Linked DNA regions of Lonchura striata. The protein of the gene in region 1 interacts with the protein of each later gene in a biochemical or structural test. Links are inferred from orthologs where the notes say so. Each region holds a gene or a part of one and is shown on either strand. Other genes may lie near its edges.

Region 1 (7,985 bases):
TGTTAAGTTGACCAGAAAATAAGAGATGTAAAAAGAGACCAGGTAGGGTGGCCTGCTTTGATTCTGATAAAAAAAAAATACTTCTTTAAGCGCTGTAATAAGTAATCTAAAATGAATTTATTTGCTTATTTTAACAGTGACATCCTTAACTGCAGGCAGCATTCTGGTTTGCTGCAGGCATCCAGGTGGGTACCTGCATTTCTAAAAGCACTGGCCTCCCTCTGAGCGGTACAAACAACCAGAAATCAGACCCCAAACCAGAAAGAAGCCAGGTAAAAACACTGGAACAACACTCAAGAAGCACGTCCAAGTCAGTAACAGAGTGATATTAATAGGAACCTGAGCTCCTTGAAAATATTCTTTGTATGAAGAATTCTTTTTCATCAGTGAACTAATTCAGGTAATTTTCCTGCACACACACAAAAAGAATAGGTCAAAGCTAGTACAAAGTGCATATTATTAATGAATGTTCAGTTTATGGAAATGTCCAGACCCTGATACATAAGAAATGAGGGGTGCACTTCTTGCCCTATTTAAGGAAACACTAAAGAAAGTAGCTATTGGAGCATTTTGGCTGATGGCACAAGTGACAGGGACATTGTCAGCTGAGGGCTGGAGCTGCATGTGAAAAGTGTCAGTGAAAACATGGATTGAGCAAAGCAGCTCCGAGAGCTGCATCTGGCCAGCATTTGAGAGAGGAGCAATTTTCCTCTCCCAGTGGAACAAGAGAGAGGAGATCACAGATTCCTCCTGTTGAAGGAATTAATGTAAAATGGTTTAGCTCTGCTTATCCTGGCACACTCTCTACTCAACAAAAGAGACAAGACCTTCCATAAAGTAACTTAAATTAAAGGTGAGAGTCCACTTCTTCCTTGAGAGACCCCAAATGCAGGTACTGCAGATCAGACTGTGTGGATACGCTAATTCCTGCTAAAAACATAGCTAAAATTGCTCTCTCTGAAGTTACAGCACTGAATAAAAACCTTTGGGTTTGAACTTGAATTATCCATGCCTTCCACAACGATCTCAGTATAATTGGGCTTCAACCCTGCCTTCTGCCCAGTACAGATTCCCAGATTAATGTTTTTTTACCATTTCCAAAAGAAGAAATAATAAATCAACAGAGCAAGGAGCAAGGTGCCTGCAAGGACATGCCAGGGCAGGTAGGAAACAATTTCTTTCTAGAGATTGGTTGTAAATAAGCTGGGTTTTGGTGGCAGCTACACAGATTAGGGTTTGAATAAATTGCCCTTGCTCTGGAGAACAGAGCAGAATTTCTGTTTCCCCTGATGCACAGGGCTCACTGTCTGCTGTACAAATATTTACAGGGCAGGAGCTTTGTCGGAATCTGATATTGATGATCCCAAGATTGTAGAAAGTCTCTGTCTGTCAGCCCCCTGCCAAAGCAGAAGCCATAATTGGTCTGTGCTGGTTTCCAGGTTGTTTATTCTGTTGATCTCTCACATGTTCTGCTGCCCTGCCCAGCTCTGTCCTGCAGGGCAGCGTGTGGGGCTCTGCCCTCAGTGGGATGTGACAAACATTAAATACCAGAAACTCCCTGGGCTGCATTTACAATAACGTGCCAATATCTGTCACCTACGTTGGACAGTGTGTCCCCAGCCTGAACCAACAGAAAAATGCCAACACCACAGTGAGACATGGAGGGCATGAAGAAGGAGAAAAAGGACAAGGCACACCCAATTTCCTCCATCTTGTCCCCTTTGGACCCCTCATCTAGAATCCTAAAATTTTACTTTTGCACCCATGCCACACTTAATTATTACTGATATCAAACCCTCAGAGCTGGTAATTCATTCTGTAAGACTGAAAACTCTTTTCCATGGACAGAAATCACAGCCAGTGTCTCTGGGGGCTCTGTCCAGGGGGTTCCTGACCCCTGCCGGGGTCCCAGACCTGCCAGGGCAGCCAGAAGGAAGCTCTGGATTCCCACAGAGCTTAAGTCTTCTTGTGTGTCCTGCACTCAGGGACTCCCTCATCTGTGCTTCTTGCTGAGAGAAAGGCAAAAAGTGACTGAGTGAAGCTTGACAGAAGTGGCAACTCTGTGCTCCAGCACCAGCTCCACCACTGCCCCAGGCTGCCCTGTGCCCATCCTGGAGCATCTGCCTGCTTCCCCTGCCCAGCACAAACACTTCTGCACCATCCTTCACCCCAAAGCACTGCCCTGCACATGCAGAGAGAGCTCTCTGCAAACACAGAGCACACTTAGCATCACTTTTAGCAAGGAAATTCATAAAAATTATTAAATAGGTTATTATAAATCCCACCCTCACCATGCTTTAGGTCTCAGCTTTAGAGGGATTGTATTGTGACCATACATGGAATTACTCATGGAATACTCTGATGGGATTTTCTTCCCAAGCAGGGCAGTGTGGTGTCCCATATTTTCTGTTCTGCTGCTCAGATCTGCTTTGGGGCCAGTCCAGAGGAGGCCACCAGGCTGATCAGAGGGCTGGAGCAGCTGTGCTTGAGGAGAGCCTGCAGGGCCTGGGGCTGCTCAGCCTGGGCAGGAGAAGCTTTGGGTGTCCCAAACTGTGGGACACTGTAGTGTCCCAGGGCAGGATTATTTACCAGGGCCAGCAGGGACAGGACTAGGAGAATGGCTTCAGATGGAAAGGGAGCAGGTTAAGACTGGATATTAGGAAAAAAACTCTTGGCTGTGAGGGTGGACAGCCCTGGCACAGGTGCCCAGAGCTGTGGCTGCCCCTGGAACCCTGGCAGTGCCCGGGCCAAGCTGGGCAGGGTTGTGCTCACCTCCCTGGTGCTGGAGAGTCCAGAGCTGCTCCCACTTGCCCAGGGACCAGCCCAGTCTCAGCAATCACTGGATTTTCTGCCTTGACCCCCTCCTTCGAGCCCTGTGGACCAAGCTGAGAGATTTCTGAGGCAGTTGTAGCATTCCAGAGCTCTCTGCCAGCTGCTGGGTCAGCTCACAGTCCCTGGCAGAGTCTGTGCACCCAGAATGTCAGAAACCAGAAAAATTAAAGAGCAGATCAGAAATCCCCTTAACAAATCACAATTACTCTTCTACCCCTTAAAAAAAAATATAGACCAAGGCAGTGGGGCATGGGCAAATTGTCAATTTTTGGCTCATCATTGAGCCTGAATCTGAAGCACTTTCAAGGAGGTGTCTCAGGCTGCCAGCCAGCAGCAGGAAGAGAAAGTGAGGCTTGGGGTCACTTCAGGAAAAATCTGTATGAGAAGAACAATTCTATGGAAAATTTGCATCAACATGAAAGACGAGCAAGTTTTCCACTTCAGCTGTGCTTGATGTGATGAGACACTGCAGCATCACAGGGGGAACAGCAGCTCCTGGACTCTGCTGTGCAGCACTGAGGGTAAATAATGTCTCTTTTCTTGTGGTTCCTTTTAGGAGGCTGCTGACTTGGATAAAGAAAATGAAGGGTTCATCAGGAATGAGAAGGACCAGGAGAACCAGGAGGAGATGTGATCTGAAGAGCATCTGAAAAGCGAGAGGATGAGGACACTGGAGGGTGCCTGAGGTGTGTTTTGCTGGTCCCTTCCCAGTGTGTGCCCCAGCAGGGCAGTGCAGGCAGAGCACCTCCTGCCCCTCTGTGAGGTGGCACCAGGGACAGCTGGCAGGGCTGCTCCCAGCTAGGTGAGCAAATGTGAAATAATGCCATCTTTGCCAAGGAAACATGCTCAGGTTACTTAATTTGCCCAAACCAGCTTTAAATATGCCAGGAATAAAAGGTGTATTTATCAACTTCATGGGGTGGAGAAAACTGACGGGTCACAGTTGCTCTGGTGACATCTCTGTCTTCAACTTGTTTTGCTCTGCATTTGTTCCTTGTGAAAGGACAGAGAAGCTGCCTTGTAAAAAAGTGATTTTCAGGTGCTGTCAGTGTCATACACACTCTGGATCTCCAGGAAATCCATCCTGGCAGCCCAGCATTCCTGCCTCCCCATGTGAGCTCCGTGCTCTCCCTGCTCCATGGCAAGCGCAGTGCTCTCTGTTTGCCTTGATTTCTCCTCTTTCCTGCCAACAAAGCCTGAGCCCTGCCAGGACACACAGCACAGTGCTGCAGAGGGCAGGAGGGAGCATTCCCAGCTTTTGGAGCATCACTCCCCGGATGGGCAGGCTGAGCCCTCTGCTGCAGCCCAGCTCTGCTGCTGGCTCCTCCTCTCACCTCTGGGGCTGAAAGCCTCCCCACACTCCTATTTTCCTTCCTTGGAGCAATCACACTTTGTTGTAGACACGTTGCTGTGGTTACAGATCCTGGAATAGTCAGGATGAACAATTTCTCCATCAGGTAAGTTGGCAACCCTTCACTTGCTTCTCTGCTACAGGACCAGAACAGAGAGCTAAGAGGTGAGTTCAGGTAAGGTGATTCAGCCAGATTTATTCCAGTTGTGCAGCATGGAGAGGAAAGGTAAAAACCTGGCAGCTGGGTAGGAGATGTGGTCCTTATTGATCAGGAGCAGACCTGGGGCTGCAGTTTTGTGTGTGTAAAAGGAGCCACCGTGGCCTGGGATGTGTGCCCTGGGAGGGAGGTGGCTGTCAGCAGTGGCCTCTTCTGATTTACCCACTCTGCCAGCAGCCCTTTCCAAAGGCAGCCTAGCCTGCTCTGTGCACGCCTGCCCCGTGCCAGGGTTAGTGCAGGGGAAAGCTTGGCTTTTCCTGTAAACTCCTGCTCACACTGAAGCCATTTAACACGGATCTGCTGTGGGACAGACCTCCTTGCATCTTTGATGTCTATTTGCTCGCCCCTAACCCGTCTGATGCAGTCCCCCCGCTGCTTTCCCAAGGCAGGGGACAAATTCAGGAGTGGGGCTCCCAGGTTCTGCCCAGTGCCAGCTCTGTGCTGATGGTGGCTGCAATTCCTGGCTCGCAGGGACCCGGCTCCAGTTACATTTGCTGGCGTCAGGCGGGCTCTGCAGACCACTGCAGCTAAAAATAAAAGAATCCAAAGCACAAACCCCGAAGAGAGAGGGATGTTAAAATTCCAGGAAAGCTGTAGGAAAAGCTGGAGAGGCGCAGGAGCAGCCCTGGGGGGACAGCACCAACATTTTGGGGCACTTTAAATTAAGCCTCTGGGTTTGCCTGTTTTTAGCCCTGTCACCCGTGTGACCCTGCGGGGCTCAGCCCCTGGCTCCAGGTATTTGTGCTCACACAAAGGAGGCTTTGGAGCCTTTTGGGAAGCAGAACCATCCCTGGTGTCCCTGCTGGCCCTGAGAGCTCCCAGAAGTCCCAGCCTTGGGATTGCCCTGGATCCAAACCCTCGGATGGTGCTGGGTGTGGGAACACGGCTCTGGTGAGTCCTGAGTGGGCCGAAGGGGGGAACGGGGTTTTCACAGCTTTTGCAGCACCTTTACTTGTCTGGGAGGTTAACAGTGGATCTGTGAATCCAGGCCAAAGGGTCGGGATTAAATACTTACCAAACCTGCTTCCAAAGGCTAAATTAATTAGTCTGCAATCAGATGGAAAAGCCCCAGTGCTATTTCTAAGGGGAGGTTTATGAATTTTGTATGAAGGTTTTGGTGGAAATTTCCACAATTTCTGAGCACAGATCATAATCTAATAATCTTTGAAACTGTCATTTTCTATTTAAATATTAAATAGATACAGAGATTAATGTTTACCAGGTACAAAGTTGTATTTTGAAGTGTGCCTGCCCTTTCCTGGAGCAGCACAGCTCCATTTCAGGTCGGCAGACTGCTTGCCTTTGACCCGTCTGCAAAAACCCTTTCCAGATTTAATCGAAGCCTCTTTGCAGGAGGCTTTATCTCTGCCTCCTTTTTGGGTGCTGTGAAACTAAACCCACCAGGAGTGTGAAAGTGAGGTTAAAAAGCAGCTGTGTGTTTGCATAACAATGGATTATATCCATGCAGTGCAGGGCTCCATCTGCCCCTGGAGCTCCTTGCATGTGGGTCAGAAGTTTCCAAACGATGGCTGAGATTAATGTGTGCAAAGGCCTGGGTTTTCCAAGTGTGCCACAGTTTAATCCTGCCTCTCTCCAGGGTTTTGGGAGTGCTGGGAATCACAGGAGCACAGAATGAGCTAGATCAGGATGAACAGGAGCACAGAATGGAGAAGACCTCTAAGACCATCTGGTTCTGCTGCTCCACAGGGAGAGCTCAGCCTGGCTGTGCTGCTCAGGGGCTGCAAAGCCTGCACTGCTGCAAAGCCTGCACTGCTGCAAAACCTGCACTGCTGCAAAGCCTGCACTGCTGCAGAGGCCCCTGCAGGGCTGAGCAGTGGGGCCAGCACCTTGCCCTGGTGTGCATTTTGGAGATTTGCTTTGGTTCTTCCCCTTAAGAACAGCAGCTCCTTCTGAAGGGAGCTGGAGGTGACTCCTGCCAACTTTGTTTGGGTGTTTGGAGCAGCACAGGGGTTTTTAATGGGATCATGGAATATCTGAGCCAGGAGGGACCCACAGATGATCCAGCCCAACCCCTGGCCCTGCACAGGCACCCCAGATCCCCCTGTGCATCCCTTGGGCAGGGTTATCCCATCACTGGGTGTGCAGTGTGTGATGTGTGTCACGTCCTCAGGCAGCTCCAAACCTGTTCCTGTGTGCCTCGTGCAGCTCCACTCCTTATTCAGGACTTCTCCTCCTGGTCCAAGCTCAGTTTCCCAGAAATCAGCTTAGTTTTTGTTAAAAGAGTTGCCTGATACAGCTCAGGTGTCCCCACATTCATTTTCTAGCAGCAGGTGCTGGGAAGAGCTTCAGTGTGTGCCCAGGGTGCAGTCAGAGCTACCAACATCCTCTGGTTTTGGATTGGAAAACCCCACTATTCCCTGAAAATCTGCAATGCCTACTGACCTCAAGATTAGCCCTGCACTGGTGTATTTTAGGCTCACCTCACTCTCCAGCAGAATTAGAATTAGCCCTCCAAAGACCTGGGCCAGGCTCATTTTACTTCTTCCTGTAGTCATTAATTAAGGTAGCAGCTAATTTTGTATGGGATCTTTTATTTTTGGCTGTATTTTATAGAATGATTGCTGGTGAAAGTTGGATGTGTTGCATCTTGAATATTGCTGAGGCTGGAAAACAGCCAGAACAACCAAGGAGCAGAACTTCCAGGCAGTTTTCCATATCTGCAGTAAAGCTCAAGTCTGCAGCGAAGTTATCTGAGGAATTCAGGCTGTGAACAACAAATGGAAAGGGAATGACACAGATATGAGGTGGGGGGGAAAGTGAGGTATTTTATGATTTTGGACAGCTTCCTGCAGTTATATCACTGCATTGTTATTATTCCTCAGCAAAATCAGAGACGAGAGATTGCACTTGAGCAGCTCCACTCATTCCTGGCAACCTGGGGAAATCCAAGTGAGCTGAGAGAGGTGGATCAGAGGTGATTCCCCACCCGTGCCCATTCATTCCAGAGTGAAATAGCCAAGGACCAGCACGTTGTGGATATTTCCCAGTGTTTTAATGACTTTGTGCTTCCTCTTTGGCACAGTTTGTCAAGTATTCCATGGCTTTTTTAAAGAACAAGGAGACTGAGCTTACTGTGTTCTGAATGTCAGAGCAGATTTCAAGGGGAAAAAAAATCCCTAAAACCCATTGCTCTACAAACAGCAAGACTAAAGCAGTTTCACCACAGATTTATATGGTCTCATCCCTAAAGCACCTCTGCTATAAGTATAACTATATATATTTATATATAAGGATAAATATATATCAATCATTATATAATTATATATATATAATTATAATTATTTTTTAAAATTTATAGAAAAGGATATCTTAACTGTGGTTCTCATTTTAGAGGGTAAGCCCCTCACGTACTGGGGCTAATTCAGCCTCAGGTACATGGGCACTGAGCAGCCTGCTGCATAAACAGGAATATTTGGTGCCTCAATTCTTTCTCTCCTTCAGTTGAGGTATGAACATGGTTCCTTTTTCTGTCTTCAGTTGCTGACTTCCAAGAACCTTTAGAAAATTAATTCTTCTTGAGGCCTTGACTCATGTGTCAAATATGTATGAAATTTGGAGCAAGAG
Region 2 (7,800 bases), on another chromosome or scaffold:
CGAGGGTCAGCCACGGGGACAGCGAGGGTCAGCCCCACAGGGACAGTGAGGGTCAGGCACGGGGACACGGGGACAGCGAGGGTCAGCCCCACGGGGACATGGGGACAGCCCCACGGGGACAGCGAGGGTCAGCCACAGGGACAGCGAGGGTCAGGCACGGGGACACGGGGACAGCCCCACGGGGACATGGGGACAGCCCCATGGGGACAGCGAGGGTCAGCCACAGGGACAGCGAGGGTCAGCCCCACGGGGACACGGGGACAGTCCCACGGGGACACAGGGACAGCGATGGTCAGCCCCACGGGGACATGGGGACAGCCCCACGGGGACAGCGAGGGTCAGCCCCACGAGGACAGCGAGGGTCAGCCACGGGGACACAGGGACAGCCCCATGGGGACACGGGGACAGCCCCACGGGGACAGCGAGGGTCAGCCACAGGGACAGCGAGGGTCAGCCCCACGGGGACACGGGGACAGCCCCACGGGGACATGGGGACAGCCCCATGGGGACACAGGGACAGCCCCACGGGGACACGGCACCAGCTCCAGCCACCGCACCCCGAGCCTTGCCCGGCGGATCAGGCTCCTTTTTGAGCCAGAGATGGGGTAACCGAGAGGCACTTTACAAATTTTTATTCTATATTTACTCTCATGTGAAGGGTGAGGCAATACATATATAATTTAAATTTTATGTGTATTTTTATATACATATATTATATTCATATATAATGTATATATATATATATTCAATTGTTATAATTCACGCCATTACAATCAGAAGCCAACTATTTTTTAATTATAATGCATTATAAGCGTTTTTTTGGCCTATCAGCTTTTGCCACGCCACACTGTCAATGTTTCAAAGTTAATTATAATTACTCCTCATGGGTTTTACTGTAATGCAGCTTTCATAGTGCTACTTCTCTAAAGCATTTAATTTTATTTGTAAGGCCATCCTTTCAAACTTGTTTCTAGTTATATTTCTCTCTCAACAAAGCCTGTCCTGTGGTATTTTTACACCGGTATTTCTTATCTCGAGGTTTGCAAAGAGGTGCAAACCGCTCATTTACCCCACCTCGGAGTCACAAAAAACCCTAATCCAAAAAAAATTGCCCATCACTTCCTCCTGCAGCTCTGTTGTAAATGCAGGGGAACCCAATGGGAAGAAATGGCGATGTGTGACTCAATTCAGAAGGCTGAATGATTTCTTTATTATAACTATGCTAAAATACATTAATATACTCTATAAAAGGAGGATACTAAAACTACAAACTACTTTTTCTGACTCTAACACAACTCATGATCCTCTCTGAGAGTCCAGCCCCTGGTGGGTTGGATTGGCCACCAGCTCAAACAATCCTCACCAGAATCCAACCAAGCACTCACCCCAGGTAAAAAATTCTCTAAATACATTCCACATAGGAAAAACAAGGAGCAGAAATAGAAATCGTTTTCATTTCTCTCCGTGCACCTCTATGAAAAATCCTGAGGGGGAGAGAAACGTGCTTGCCACACAGCTCCACAACTTGAATCCCGTTTATTGTGGGACTGAGCCGTTTCCTCTGAAAATTCAACTTTAATCCCGTTTATTGCACAACTGAGCCGTTTCCTCTGAAAACCCAACTTCAATCCCGTTTATTGCACAACTGAGCCGTTTCCTCTGAAAATCCAACTTCAATCCCGTTTATTGCACAACTGAGCCGTTTCCTCTGAAAATTCAACTTCAATCCCGTTTATTGCACAACTGAACCGTTTCCTCTGAAAACCCAACTTCAATCCCGTTTATTGCGGGACTGAGCCGTTTCCTCTGAAAACCCAACTTCAATCCCGTTTATTGTGGGACTGAGCCGTTTCCTCTGAAAACCCAACTTCAATCCCGTTTATTGCAGGACTGAGCCGTTTCCTCTGAAAACCCAACTTTAATCCTGTTTATTGTGGGACTGAGCCGTTTCCTCTGAAAACCCAACTTCAATCCCGTTTATTGCACAACTGAGCCGTTTCCTCTGAAAACCCAACTTCAATCCCGTTTATTGCACAACTGAACCGTTTCCTCTGAAAACCCAACTTCAATCCCGTTTATTGCACAACTGAGCCGTTTCCTCTGAAAAACCAACTTCAATCCCGTTTATTGCACAACTGAACCGTTTCCTCTGAAAACCCAACTTGAATCCTGTTTATTGCACAACTGAACCGTTTCCTCTGAAAATCCAACTTCAATCCTGTTTATTGCAGGACTGAGCCGTTTCCTCTGAAAATCCAACTTTAATCCCGTTTATTGCGGGACTGAGCCATTTCCTCTGAAAAACCAACTTCAATCCCGTTTATTGCACGACTGAGCCGTTTCCTCTGAAAACCCAACTTCAATCCCGTTTATTCCAGAATTTAGCCGTTTCCTCTGAAAACCCAACTTGAATCCCGTTTATTCCAGAATTTAGCCGTTTCCTGCCGCTCCCCTTCGCCAGGCACCCCCAGCCCAGCTCGCTGGACCCTTTTTTTGTGCTTCCTCCCCCTCCGCGTGGCACCGGGAATGTCCCCACGCGGTGACACCACGCTCCAAACCCAGCTCCGGGAGGGGACAGAATCCCCATCTCCACCTGCTGCTCTCCCAAATGCGACGGAAAACCGGGATCGGGAGCGGTTGTGCTGCGTCCAGCACCACCCCCGAGGACACACGGACCAGCCAGGCCACCGGGACGTGTCCCCGACCCCGGGCAGGGCAACCCCGACCCAGCCGCCGCCTCCAGCGCTTTTCCCACGCCAGGACAGCTCTGGCCACCCCTTTTTAAGCCACAGGAAGCCTCCAGGGGGACGGGGGGACGCGGGGCTGGGTCGCCCACCCATCCCTCGCCATCCCTCGCCTCCTGGCAGAGCCGGTAGCCACGGGCCACCGGAGAGCCACTTACCAAGGTCCTGGGGGCGGCTGAGCAGCTCCGAGGCAGAGCCCGGAGGTTTGAGGTTGCCGTGGAGATGGTTTCCTCGGAAGGAAGGGACAGAGGGACCGGGAATGAGAAGTCAAAGCCCCGGGGAAGGAGCAGAGGCTGCTCCGGACCTGCCAACGGCGTTTTAACCCCCCGGCAACCGCCCCAACCGGCCCGAGCGGCGCCGGGCGCGCTCCTGCCCAGCCCCCGCGCCGCACCGCCGGCTGCTCCGCCGATTCAGGGGCGCTGCGAGCCCGACTTCCATCTGCCCGTCTCGTCCATCCCCTAATGAGCTCCGGGGAAGAGGCACACGCGAGGAAATGAAAGAAAAAGACAGTGAAGAAGAGCCCGGTGTGAGTCTGGCAGCAGCGAGGGGATCATTACATAATGGAGCTGTGGCTGCACGCTCGGAGAACACGAGCGAGCCCGGCGAGGGAAAGAGGCGTCGGGGATTAACTAATTAGAAACATTAATGGATTGGGAATGATCGGGAGCTTTTTAGGGGCTTAATGGCTCCGGTTCCCACGCTGGAGATGGGCACAGCCCCGTAATTAGAGCCCTGAGCCGGCAAATGGGCTCCCGTGAGTCAGGCTTTTCCCAGGAATGCCGGGATGAGTCAAGGTTTGCACCTTCACGGTGTCACACGGACGGGGAGGTTGAAAATTCGGGATCCCCAGCACCGGGCAAAGCTGGAGACCAGCAGAAAATGCCCAGAAATGTGCTCATGGAACGGTGAGAAAGGCAGGAGTTTCCCTGGAGAAACGGGGATGCGGCTGAAAGTTGAACGAGAGGCAGGCAGGGAGTTGGGCACTCGGGTGGAGATGTGGACGAGGAACTCCTGGCAAAACCTGGAATGGTTTGGGATGGAAGGGTCTGGAATTCCATCCAGAGTCACCCCTGCCAGGGCAGGGACACCTCCCGCTGGCCCAGGGGGCTCCAAACTCACCTTGGACATTTCTGGGGGTCCAGGGAGAGCCACAGCTCCTCTGGGAATTCCATCCCAGCCCCTCCTCACCAGGAATTCCTCCCCAGTATCCCACCCAAACCTCCCCTTTTCCCATTGGAAGCCATTCCCTGTGTCCTGTCCCTCCATCCCTCGTCCCCAGTCCCTTTCCCTGCTGAAACGCATCCCACATAAAGCAGACACAGAAATTTCTGAAATTTCAGGGAGCGTCACATCAGGGGTTTTAAAATTCCCACGCACACTTTCAGTGTGTTCCATCTGGGAAAAATCCAGGTTGGACATGGAGAAAGGTGCCTGAAAGTCCTTAAAAAAGGACTTTCCTTCCCAATATCCCACCCAAACCTCCCCTTTTCCCATTGGAAGTCATTCCCTGTGTCCTGTCCCTCCATCCCTTGTCCCCAGTCCCTCTCCCTGCTGAAACGCATCCCACACAAAGCAGACACAGAAATTTCAGGGAGCATCACATCAGGGGTTTTAAAATTTTCAAATTTTTTCCTCTCCAGACCCTTTGCAGTGTTTTGGTTTGTTTTGGGGGTTTTTTTGTGGTTTTTTTTTGGTTTTTTGGGGTTTTTTGTGACCCCTTTGCAGAGCTTCCCCAAACAACACCAAGAACCCAAAATGGGATTAATTCAGAGCAGGGATATTCTTTTTTCCCCCAAGCCCAAAGACAGAGAAAAGCCCTTTGGAGAGCCAAAATCAGCCCCTTCCATCTGGAAACCTCTCACAGATCATCCCAAAAGGGTTTGGCAATGGAAAAGGTGAAGGGGGATCTCCCAGGGATGCTCAGGAAGCAAAACTCATGGGAGCAACAATTTTACATTTTTAAAAATGTAAAATTTTACAAATTTTTCATCTTCCTGTGTAAGATGAGCCGTGACTTCCTCCCTAAAAAAAAAATAAAACAAAGAAAAAAAAAAATGTTTGGGTTTTTTTAAACAAAGATTTTATTTCCTCCACTCAGGAAACAGATTTTAAAGTGCAGCAGGAAACTTGTTCAGCTTTTACCAGGACAAAAAAAATCCATGGGAAAATGCTGCCAGGGCTGGACACCCTCTGCTGTGTGATGCTCCCGAGGGGGTGGGAAACCGCTGGAATATTTAATTTTTAAATTAAATATTAAACCCCTGTGGCTTCCAAACCCAGGCCAAGGTGACCCCAGAGCTGCTGCCTTTGCTGTCCCCGCCACATTCCTGGAAATCCGAGCCCAGGGATGAGCGATTTCCACCGGGATCCTCCTCTCCATCCTCCTGCCCGTGCCTGGAGCTCTCCGGGCTGGGGAGAAGCAGGAAAATCCCTGAGGCTGCACGCAGGAATTTCCCCTCTGGAGAAGGATCCTGCTGCTGGAAAAGGCAGCTTGGGTGACAAACGGAAAGGTAAATTTTAAGGGATTTCGAGATTTTAGAGGAGGTAAGATTTTAGTTAGAGATAAGCCTTACTAGAGTTAATTAAAATAAATGAGTAGGCCTTGATGAAGTTAAGAGTTAGGAGTTAACTAGTAACTGATTGCTCATCAGCACAATGATGAGTTAGCTGGGTTTGTAATGAAGAATATAAATTGATAAATAGCTTTTAGGAACATCAGACAATTGTGGCCTCCTCTGTTCTGAAACCAATTGAAGACAAGGAATGGGAGTTCTACCAAGAGTTCATTTGTCATATTTACATCGAAAAGGTAGAAAGGTCAGTATGAGGGAAAAACTTCATTGACTTCCTCATTTTGGGACCCGTCCCCATGGAAGGGACACCGACCCATTTCAAGGAACAAACCACGCAGGCTGAATAGATTTTGAAATTATTAGCATATGAAGCAGGGAATGGGATGTACCAAAATGATGAATTTGTATTTGTATTTTGGGTATTCAACACTTGGATGGATAAAAGGGCTCTGTAATCACCTGGAAGCTGTGGTGTGGATTTGGGATCCCACACACAATAAACACACACTTTGTAACTTTAAACTGTCAGAGAGTTTTTGTCTGTCACAGTTGGATATTGGTATTAGATCAATATCCAGATTTTTTAAATAAATCACTTTCTAACTCTAAACTGTTAGCGAGTTTTTGTCTGTCACAGCTGGATATTGGTATTAGATCAATATCCATATTTTTTTAATAAATCAAAACCAGCTCCCAGGGAGGGGAAATGATGCCTCAGGTTTGAGCTTTTCTATTTCTCACGTTCTGAGCTGCTTTGGTGCGTGGGTCTGGGCTTCACCCCGGGGGATGCTGAGCTCTGCACAGAGCAGGGAGACAAAACAACTCCTGCTCCAGCTGGGACCGAGGACAATCAGGACAAGTTTAAACAAGGTGGGCTGAAGAGACAAAACAAGGAGGATGGGAATTCACCAGCTAAAGCTGGAATTGGACAATTAACTCCAGCGTGCTGATGGACCAGAACTTCAGAAAAGTGACAGACCCCATGACCTGCCTTCCATTTTGGACCATTTAGACCAAAACTTAATAAAAGTGACAGACCCCATGACCTGCCTTCCATTTTGGGACCATTTGGACCAAAACTGAATAAAAGTGACAGACCCCATGACCTGTCTTCCACTTTGGGACCATTTGGACCAAAACTTCATAAAAGTGACAGACCCCATGACCTGTCTTCCACTTTGGGACCATTTGGACCAAAACTGAATAAAAGTGACAAACCCCATGACCTGTCTTCCATTTTGGGACCATTTAGACCAAAACTGAATAAAAGTGACAGACCCCATGACCTGCCTTCCATTTTGGGACCATTTGGACCAAAACTTAATAAAAGTGACAGACTCCATGACCTGTCTTCCATTTTGGGACCATTTGGACCAAAACTTAATAAAAGTGACAGACCCCGTGACCGGTTGTGCATTTTGGGACCGTTTTGGTCGATTTGGGTGCAGCCCTGGCTGGGCTCTTGTGCTGCCCATGGTGGATGCCTCGAGATAATTTTAATAAATCCCTGCTTTATTATTTTTTTATTCTGTAGCTCTTCCAGCTCTGTTCTAGCTCAGCCTTCCCGGGTTCCTGTCCCGGGCTGTTCCCAGGTTCCCAGTCCTGACTCAGGACTGCAGGAATCTCGTTTTTCCAGCCTGGAAGCCTCTGGCACCATCCTCACATGAGGCTCAGAGCCGAGGGAAGTGCAGGAATTGCCCCCTCATTCCAGCGTGGGATGAGAAACAAAAAAAGATGCTTCCCTGCTGTGAAAAACGCCAATCGCTTGGTTTTTAAAATTTTAAAAGTTTAATAATAATAATAAAATTGTTATAAAAATAATAATACAATTAGAGTAATAAAGTTTAGAGTGAGGACAATTACAAGACAATAAAAAGCAAAGAATTACGGATGTCTGGATGCTCTTGGACACTAAGTCACAAAAATCATGACTTGTGAACAAAGGAATAACCTTAAACCAATACACTTGTTGCATATTCATACATCCTTCATGGTTATGCAGATATTTTATTTAAAACAAGAAACTCTGTCTGTTGTATGTCAACTGTTTCCTTTAATCTCCTGGCAGCTTTGAGTCTGAGCAAGGCCTTGTGAAAAACAATAATCGCTTGGTTTTTAAAATTTTAAAAGTTTAATAATAATAAAATGGTTATAAAAATAATAATACAATTAGAGTAATAAAGTTTAGAGTGAGGACAATTACAAGACAATAAAAAGCAAAGAATTACGGATGTCCGGATGCTCTCAGACACCAAGTCACAAAAATCATGATTTGTGAACAAAGGAATAACCTTAAACCAATACACTTGTTGCATATTCATACATCCTTCATGGTTATGCATACATTTTATTTAAAACAAGAAACTCTGTCTGTTGTATGTCAACTGTTTCCTTTAATCCTCATGGCAGCTTCGAGTCTGAGCAAGGCCTGAAAAAATTATTTTTTTCTGATAAGAAGCCATAAGTTCCTCTCCTTTGGAAGA
Region 3 (7,060 bases), on another chromosome or scaffold:
CCGGGGTCACCCGGCCGCGGACGAGCACCTGGGACTAATTGCAGGGAATAAATGAGCAATTAAGGGCGCTAGGGCAGGGCTGGAACATCCCAGACCTCCGGCTGACCCCCGGGCGGTATCCCTGGAAACGGCCGCACCGGGATCGGGATGCTCAGCCCGGCCGGCACCGGCGGCACCGGGGCCCTCCGAGCCCCCCCGGCGGCGGAAGCGGCTCCGGCCCCACCGGCAGCTGGGGCGGCCGCACTGAGGCGCCTTTGTCCGGCACAGGGCTGGGTTTACCCGGGGAGAGAAGGGTTTGTCTTGGAGCAGGCAGGATTTACCCGGGGAGGGCAGGATTTGTCCCGGGGAGGGCAGGATTTATCCCGAGGAGGGCAGGATTTGTCCCGGGGAGGGCAGGATTTGTCCTGGGAGGACAGGATTTGTCTTGGAGGGGGCAGGATTTATCCCGAGGAGGGCAGGATTTATCCCGGGAGGACAGGATTTGTCCCGAGGAAGGCAGGATTTGTCCCCGGGAGGGCAGGAATGGAAGCACCGTTAAGGGCCGGTAGCACCGTGGAGAACCGGGCAGCCCCGGGCGGGCAGAACGGGCCGGTCCCGCTGCCCCCGCGGCGCTGCGGGCACCGCCCAGCCCGGCACGGGGGGCTCCGCTCGGGGCTGCACCCGGGTTATCCCCGCTGGCACCGGGGACGGTCCCGCTGCTCCCCAAAACCTCCGCGATCCTCCCACCCACCCCAAACCTGGCCCGCCCGGGGGTCCCGGTGCCCGCCCGGGGTCCCGGTGCCCGCCCGGGGTCCCGGTGCCCGCCCGGGGTCCCGGTGCCCGCCCGGGGGGATTTTTGGCTCGCCCGGGGCTGGCTGAGCGGAAGGCAGGCTGGCTTTTAAAGCAGATTAATTAAGCTGCACTGCGGGGCCAGAGCTCAGAATGCAAACAGCCGTAATTCGATTTCTCTGACTTGCAAATCGCGGCAGGGAACGCGGCCGAAATCACATTAAGGCCGTTTCCACCCCGAGCCGTGTCCTCGCAGGGCTTTAATGCAGTTTCACTAATTGAATTTCAACGCTTATTGAGCTTAATTCGGGTTTGTGCCGGGCGCGGGGCTGGGCTGGGACCCCCCGGGCTGGGCTGGGACCCCCGGGAAAGGCTGGGCTGAGACCCCCGGGAAGGGCTGGGCTGGGACCCCCAGGAAAGGCTGAGACCCCTGGGACCCCCAGGAAGGGCTGAGACCCCCGGGAAAAGCTGGGACCCCCTGGAAATGCTGGGCTGGGACCCCCCGGGCTGGGCTGGGCTGGGTTGGGACCCCCAGGAAGGGCTGAGACCCCCGGGAAAGGCTGGGCTGGGACCCCGGGGAAGGTTTGGGACCCCCAGGAATAGCTGAGACCCCTGAGACCCCCGGGAAGGGCTGAGACCCCCGGGAAAGGCTGGGCTGGGACCCCGGGGAAGGTTTGGGACCCCCAGGAACGGCTGAGACCCCTGGGCTGGGCTGGGCTGGGACCCCCGGGAAGAGCCGGGACCCCCCCTAAGGACGGGCTGGGTGGGAGTGGGATCAGCGCCAGCCCCACACCGGATTTGGGGTGGAAAAACCCCAAATCCCGCCGCCCCCCCCGGGCGTGGCCGCGGCCCGGAGTCCCCGCGGGTCCCCCCGGCCCCGGGGCCGCCCCGGCGCGTTCGTGCCGCGGGGATTTGGGAGCGGCGGAGGCGAAGAGGAGGCGCTTTGTTCCCAGCCCGGGGGACAATGAGCCCTTCTTGGCCCGACGGAAATCCCCAAAACCGGAGCGGCCCGGGAAGGGCCGGGAGGGGCCCCGCGCGGCTCTGGGCCGCGGTTCTGTGCCACCCCCCAAAAACGGGGTTCTGGAGCTGTTTTGGGGTGCGGTTCTGTGCCACCACCCAAAAACGGGGTTCTGGAGCTGGTTTGGGGGTGCGGTTCTGCTGCCACCCCCCAAAAACGGGGTTCTGGAGCTGGTTTGGGGTGCGGTTCTGTGCCACCACCCAAAAACGGGGTTCTGGAGCTGTTTTGGGGTGCGGTTCTGTGCCACCCCCCAAAAATGGGGTTCTGGAGCTGTTTTGGGGTGCGGTTCTGTGCCACCACCCAAAAACGGGGTTCTGAAGCTGTTTTGGGGTGCGGTTCTGTGCCACCACCCAAAAATGGGGTTCTGGAGCTGTTTTGGGGTGCGGTTCTGTGCCACCACCCAAAAAAGGGGTTCTGGAGCTGTTTTGGGGTTCGGTTCTGCTGCCACCACCCAAAAATGGGGTTCTGGCTGAGTTCTGGGGTTCGGTTCTGCTGCCACCACCCAAAATTGGGGTTATGGCTCAGTTCTGGGGTGCGGTTCTGTGCCACCACCCAAAAATGTGGTTCCGGAGCTGTTTTGAAGGTGCAATCCCACAGCCAGCCCCTAAAAAAGCAATCCCAGCCCAATTTTGGGGTGCAACCCCAAGAACGCACTCTCAGCTCAATTTTGGGGGCCTCTATGTCCCCCTGGCCCTTCCTGGGAATCTCCAGCCCCTCGCAGCTGGGAACGGGAATGGGGAGAGCTCATCCCACTTGGGAACGGGAATGTGGGAATGGGAATGTGGGAATGGGAATGTGGGAATGAGAAATGGGAATGGGAATGTGGGAATGGGAATGGGGAAATGGGAATGGGAATGTGGGAACGGGAATGGGAATGGGAACGGGAACGGCAACGGGAATGGGAATGGAAATGTGGGAATGGGGAGAGCTCATCCCGCATGGGAATGGGAACGGGAATGGGAATGGGAACAGGAGTAGGAAAAGGAATGGGAATGGGAATAGAAACGGGAATGAGCAACACGACCCCGGCAGGAACGAGGACGCTGCAAATCCCGAGCCGTAAATCCCAGATTTAATGGGATTTCCCCGCTGGATCCAGCGGGGTCACCTGGCAGCGGAACCCGCCGCGGGCGCGGGGGCGGCGTGGGGATTTTTTCCTCTTTTTTCCCTCTTTTTTCCCCGTTTTTCGGGATTCCCGGAGCCAAAGGGAGAGCGCTGCTTCCCTCTAGCGGCCCCGGGACAGGAGGGGACCGGAGCGGGAACGGCCCCGGGACAAGGGGGGACAGCGAATCCCGGGGTCCGCGGCTCCAGGAGCTGCTGGGAAGGGCCCGAGGGAGGCCACGGGAATGATTTGGGGTCTGGAAAACCTCGGGCGAGCGGAGAGAGGGAAGGGTAGACCGGAGGAGGGAAGGCTGAGAGCAGGAATATCCCACATTTCTGTGGAAATATGTGAAATATCCATAGAAATCTGTCACTGCAGAGGGGATCCCGTCACTGCATGAAAACACCTCAGATATCCATGGAAATATGTCAAATATCCACGGGAATATCGCAAATATCCACGGAAATCTGCGACTGGAGAGATTCCCACCAACACATGGAAATATCTCAGATATCTGTGGAAATCTCTCATTTTGGGAAAGGGATCCCACCAATGCCTGGAAATATCTCAGATATCCGTGGAAATCTCTCATTTTGGGAAATATCTCAGATATCCGTGGAAATCTTTCATTTTGGGAAAGGGATCCCACCAATGCCTGGAAATATCTCAGATATGCATGGAAATCTCTCATTTTGGAAATGGGATCCCACCAACGGATGGAAATATCTCAGATGGCCAGAAGTGAACCCCAAGTCCCCCTCGGCAGGAGGCGGAGCTGGCCCCGAGGGTGGCCGGGACCGGTGACCAGGAAGGGCCGGGGGACATTCCGACCCCGCGGGGACCCTGCCTGGGCAGGTGGCCCTGCCCGGGTGACCTCGGGGGTCCCTGCCCAGCTGCTCTGGCGTTCCGGGGCGGGCAGCGCTGTCCCCGCCCGTGTCCCCCGCCGGTCCCCACGAGCCCCCCAAGCGCCTTCCCCCGCCAGGACTACACCTCCCAAGAGGCAGCGCGCCGCTCCGGCCAATAGCGCGCGGCCTTGCTCAGCCAGCGGGGCACAGCGGAGCCGATAGGCCGGGCGGCAGCGGGCGCGGCAGAGAGAACTACATATCCCAGAGAGCCCCGGGGGGCGCGGGCCAATGAGGAGGGCGCGTCTTGGCGCGGCGCGCAGGCGCGCTGGGCAGGGGGGCGGCGGCGGATTCATGTGGAGGTCAGCGGCGCGGCGGGAGCGGCGGGCGGGGGGCGGCGGTGGGTCCGGGACCGGGAACCGGGAATCGGGAACCGGGCACACAGCCAGGCCTTGCCCCCTGGCGGGCCCCTGCTGCGGGCGAGCGGCCTAGGAGGGAGCGGGCAGGGGGAGGCCTGGGGGGTGCGGGGGGCCCCGGGGGCGGCGGGACCGAACCCGGGGAGGGAGATGGGAGGGAGACCCCCAGGGATGGGGGGACCCCCGGGATGGGGAGAGACCCGGGAATGGGGGGGACCCCCGGGGCTGGGGAGACTCACAGGGCCGAGGAGACCCCTGGGGCTGGGGGGGGACTCTTGGGGCTGGGGAGACCCCCGGGCAGGGCTGAGCGCTGCGGGGCGTCGCAGGCGGGCTCTGGAGCGGTGAGATGGCTGCCAAGGTGTTCGAGAGCATCGGGAAGCTCGGGCTGGGCTTGGCCGTGGCGGGGGGAGTCGTGAACTCGGCGCTTTACAACGGTGAGTGGGGCTGGGTGAGTGGGATGGACTCAGTGAGTGGGACTCGGTGAGTGGGACTCGGTGAGTGCCCCGGGTCTGTGTTTCTGCCCCAATCCTGTTTTCCCCGTGCTTTATCACCCGATAAATCCACACCGAGTCCATGCAGTGCCGCGGGAGCTCCTTCCTCCCAAAGCCTCGGAGCTGCCCCGGGGGCCCCACAGCTCCGCCCGCAGCTCCTCCGGCCTGGGTTGATTAACTCCGCCGTTAATTTCCCGCCGTGCCGCTAATTGCGCGCTCTCTCCCCCCGCAGTGGACGCGGGGCACAGGGCCGTGATCTTCGACCGCTTCCGCGGCGTGCAGGACGCCGTGGTGGGCGAGGGCACGCACTTCCTCATCCCCTGGGTGCAGAAACCCATCATCTTCGACTGCCGCTCGCGGCCCCGCAACGTCCCCGTCATCACCGGCAGCAAAGGTGGGTGCAGGCGCCCTGGGGTGCCCAGGGGTGTCCAGGGCCACACAGGGGCACCCAGGGGTGTCCAGATGCACCCCGGAGCTCCCAGGGGCACACAGGGGTGTCCAGAGGTCTCCAGGGGCATCCAGGGGCACCCAGAGGTGTCCAGGGGCACCCAGGGGTGTCCAGGGGTGTTGTTGTTGAAGCAGGACGGGAATGAAGAGACTCTGACTAGATCAGAAGGCTGTGAGAGTGAAACTCTGATTTATTTAAAATACACTGTTTGTGAGGACTAAATCTATTGGTTGGGAGGGGTCCCTGGAGCTCACCTGGCCCAGGTGACACTGGTGGGGTTTGGGAGGGATCCCTGGAGTTCACCTGGGGTTTGGGAGGGGTCCCTGGAGCTCACTTGGCCCAGGTGACACTGGTGGGGTTTGGGAGGGGTCCCTGGAGCTCACCTGGGGTTTGGGAGGGGTCCCTGGAGCTCACTGGGGTTGGGAGGGGTCCCTGGAGCTCACCTGGCCCAAGTGACACTGGTGGGGTTTGGGAGGGATCCCTGGAGCTCACCTGGGGTTTGGGAGGGATCCCTGGAGCTCACCTGGGGTTTGGGAGGGGTCCCTGGAGCTCACCTGGCCCAGGTGAGGTGGCGGGGCTGGAATTCTCCCCGCAGCAGCGCCGGGCAGGCCGGGGGGGATCGGGGATCCTCGGCAGCTCGTGCTGCTGCCGGAGCGGGGCCGGGGGCGCCGGGGGAGCCCGGCCCCGCTCCCGAGGCGCCGCTGCCGCTCCGCAGACCTGCAGAACGTCAACATCACCCTGCGCATCCTGTTCCGGCCCGTCACGGCGCAGCTGCCGCGCATCTTCACCAGCATCGGCGAGGACTACGACGAGCGCGTGCTGCCCTCCATCACCACCGAGATCCTCAAGTCCGTGGTGGTGAGCGCCCGCGCTGCCCCGGCGCTCCTGGCAGCGTGCTCTCTCCTGGTGCCTCCCATTCCATCCTGTTCCCAGCAGTGTCCGTCCCATTCCATCCCATTCCCAGCAGTTTCCCTCCTGTGCCCAGCAGTTTCCATCCCATTCCATCCCATTCCTAGCAGTTTCCCTCATGTTCCCAGCAGTTTCCATCCCATTCCCTCCTTTTCCCTCCTGTTTCCTCTGTTCCATCCCATTCCCAGTAATTTCCCTCTGGTTTCATCCCATTCCCGGGGGTGCCCATCCCATTCCCAGGAGTGCCCATCCCATTCCCGGGGGTGCCCATCCCATTCCCAGCGGTTTCCATCCCATTCCCGGGGGTTCCCATCCCATTCCCGGGGGTGCCCATCCCATTCCCAGCAGTTTCCATCCTATTCCCAGGGGTTCCCATCCCATTCCCGGGGGTGCCCATCCCATTCCCAGCGGTTTCCATCCCATTCCCGGGGGTGCCCATCCCATTCCCGGAGGTGCCCATCCCATTCCCAGGAGTGCCCATCCCATTCCCAGGGGTGCCCATCCCGTTCCCAGCGGTTTCCATCCCATTCCCAGTGGTTTCCATCTTGTTCCTGGGGGTGCCCATCCTATTCCCAGGGGTTCCCATCCCATTCCCGGGGGTGCCCATCCCATTCCCAGCGGTTTCCATCCCATTCCCTCCGTCCCTCCGTGCCCCCAGGCGCGCTTCGACGCGGGCGAGCTGATCACGCAGCGGGAGCTGGTGTCCAGGCAGGTCAGCGAGGACCTGACGGAGCGCGCGGCCACCTTCGGGCTCATCCTGGACGACGTGTCCCTGGTGAGCCCCGCCGGACGCTCGGACACTCGGACGCTCGGACACGCGGCTCTGCCGCTGCCCCGTCACTCGGGCAGCCCCCGGTGCCTCAGCCCTGCCGTGCTGGGATCTGTCACCCCACAGGAGCTGCTTTGGGATGGGGCAGCAGCTCCACAGGCACCCCTGGAAGCACCAGGAGGGGAAATTCCCACTGGTTCCGCCGCTAAGATATCCAAGGAGGGAGCTCTGCCCTCCCAGCTCCCCTAGAATTAAAACTGATCCCACTGGGAGCGCAGCCTGTGCGGGAGGTGACTT

Evidence for each region.
Region 2: the proteins of RAF1 (region 1) and PEBP4 form a complex in vitro, tested with the Homo sapiens proteins (2 studies listed by BioGRID). The link is inferred for Lonchura striata from reciprocal best matches to the Homo sapiens genes RAF1 and PEBP4.
Region 3: the proteins of RAF1 (region 1) and PHB1 form a complex in vitro, tested with the Homo sapiens proteins (2 studies listed by BioGRID). The link is inferred for Lonchura striata from reciprocal best matches to the Homo sapiens genes RAF1 and PHB1.

Annotation. Positions count from the first base shown.
Region 1 is NC_134614.1:4,706,453-4,714,437, forward strand, and holds the start of RAF1 (RAF proto-oncogene serine/threonine-protein kinase), read left to right. Parts: upstream 1-4,967; 5' UTR 4,968-5,291; intron 5,292-7,985. UniProt on the Homo sapiens protein: Serine/threonine-protein kinase that acts as a regulatory link between the membrane-associated Ras GTPases and the MAPK/ERK cascade, and this critical regulatory link functions as a switch determining cell fate decisions including proliferation, differentiation, apoptosis, survival and oncogenic transformation.
Region 2 is NC_134634.1:3,265,672-3,273,471, reverse strand, and holds the start of PEBP4 (phosphatidylethanolamine-binding protein 4), read right to left. Parts: upstream 3,009-7,800; 5' UTR 2,903-3,008; intron 1-2,902. UniProt on the Homo sapiens protein: Promotes AKT phosphorylation, suggesting a possible role in the PI3K-AKT signaling pathway.
Region 3 is NC_134627.1:7,928,068-7,935,127, forward strand, and holds the start of PHB1 (prohibitin 1), read left to right. Parts: upstream 1-4,052; 5' UTR 4,053-4,092; intron 4,093-4,472; 5' UTR 4,473-4,492; coding exon 4,493-4,580; intron 4,581-4,869; coding exon 4,870-5,031; intron 5,032-5,800; coding exon 5,801-5,943; intron 5,944-6,652; coding exon 6,653-6,769; intron 6,770-7,060.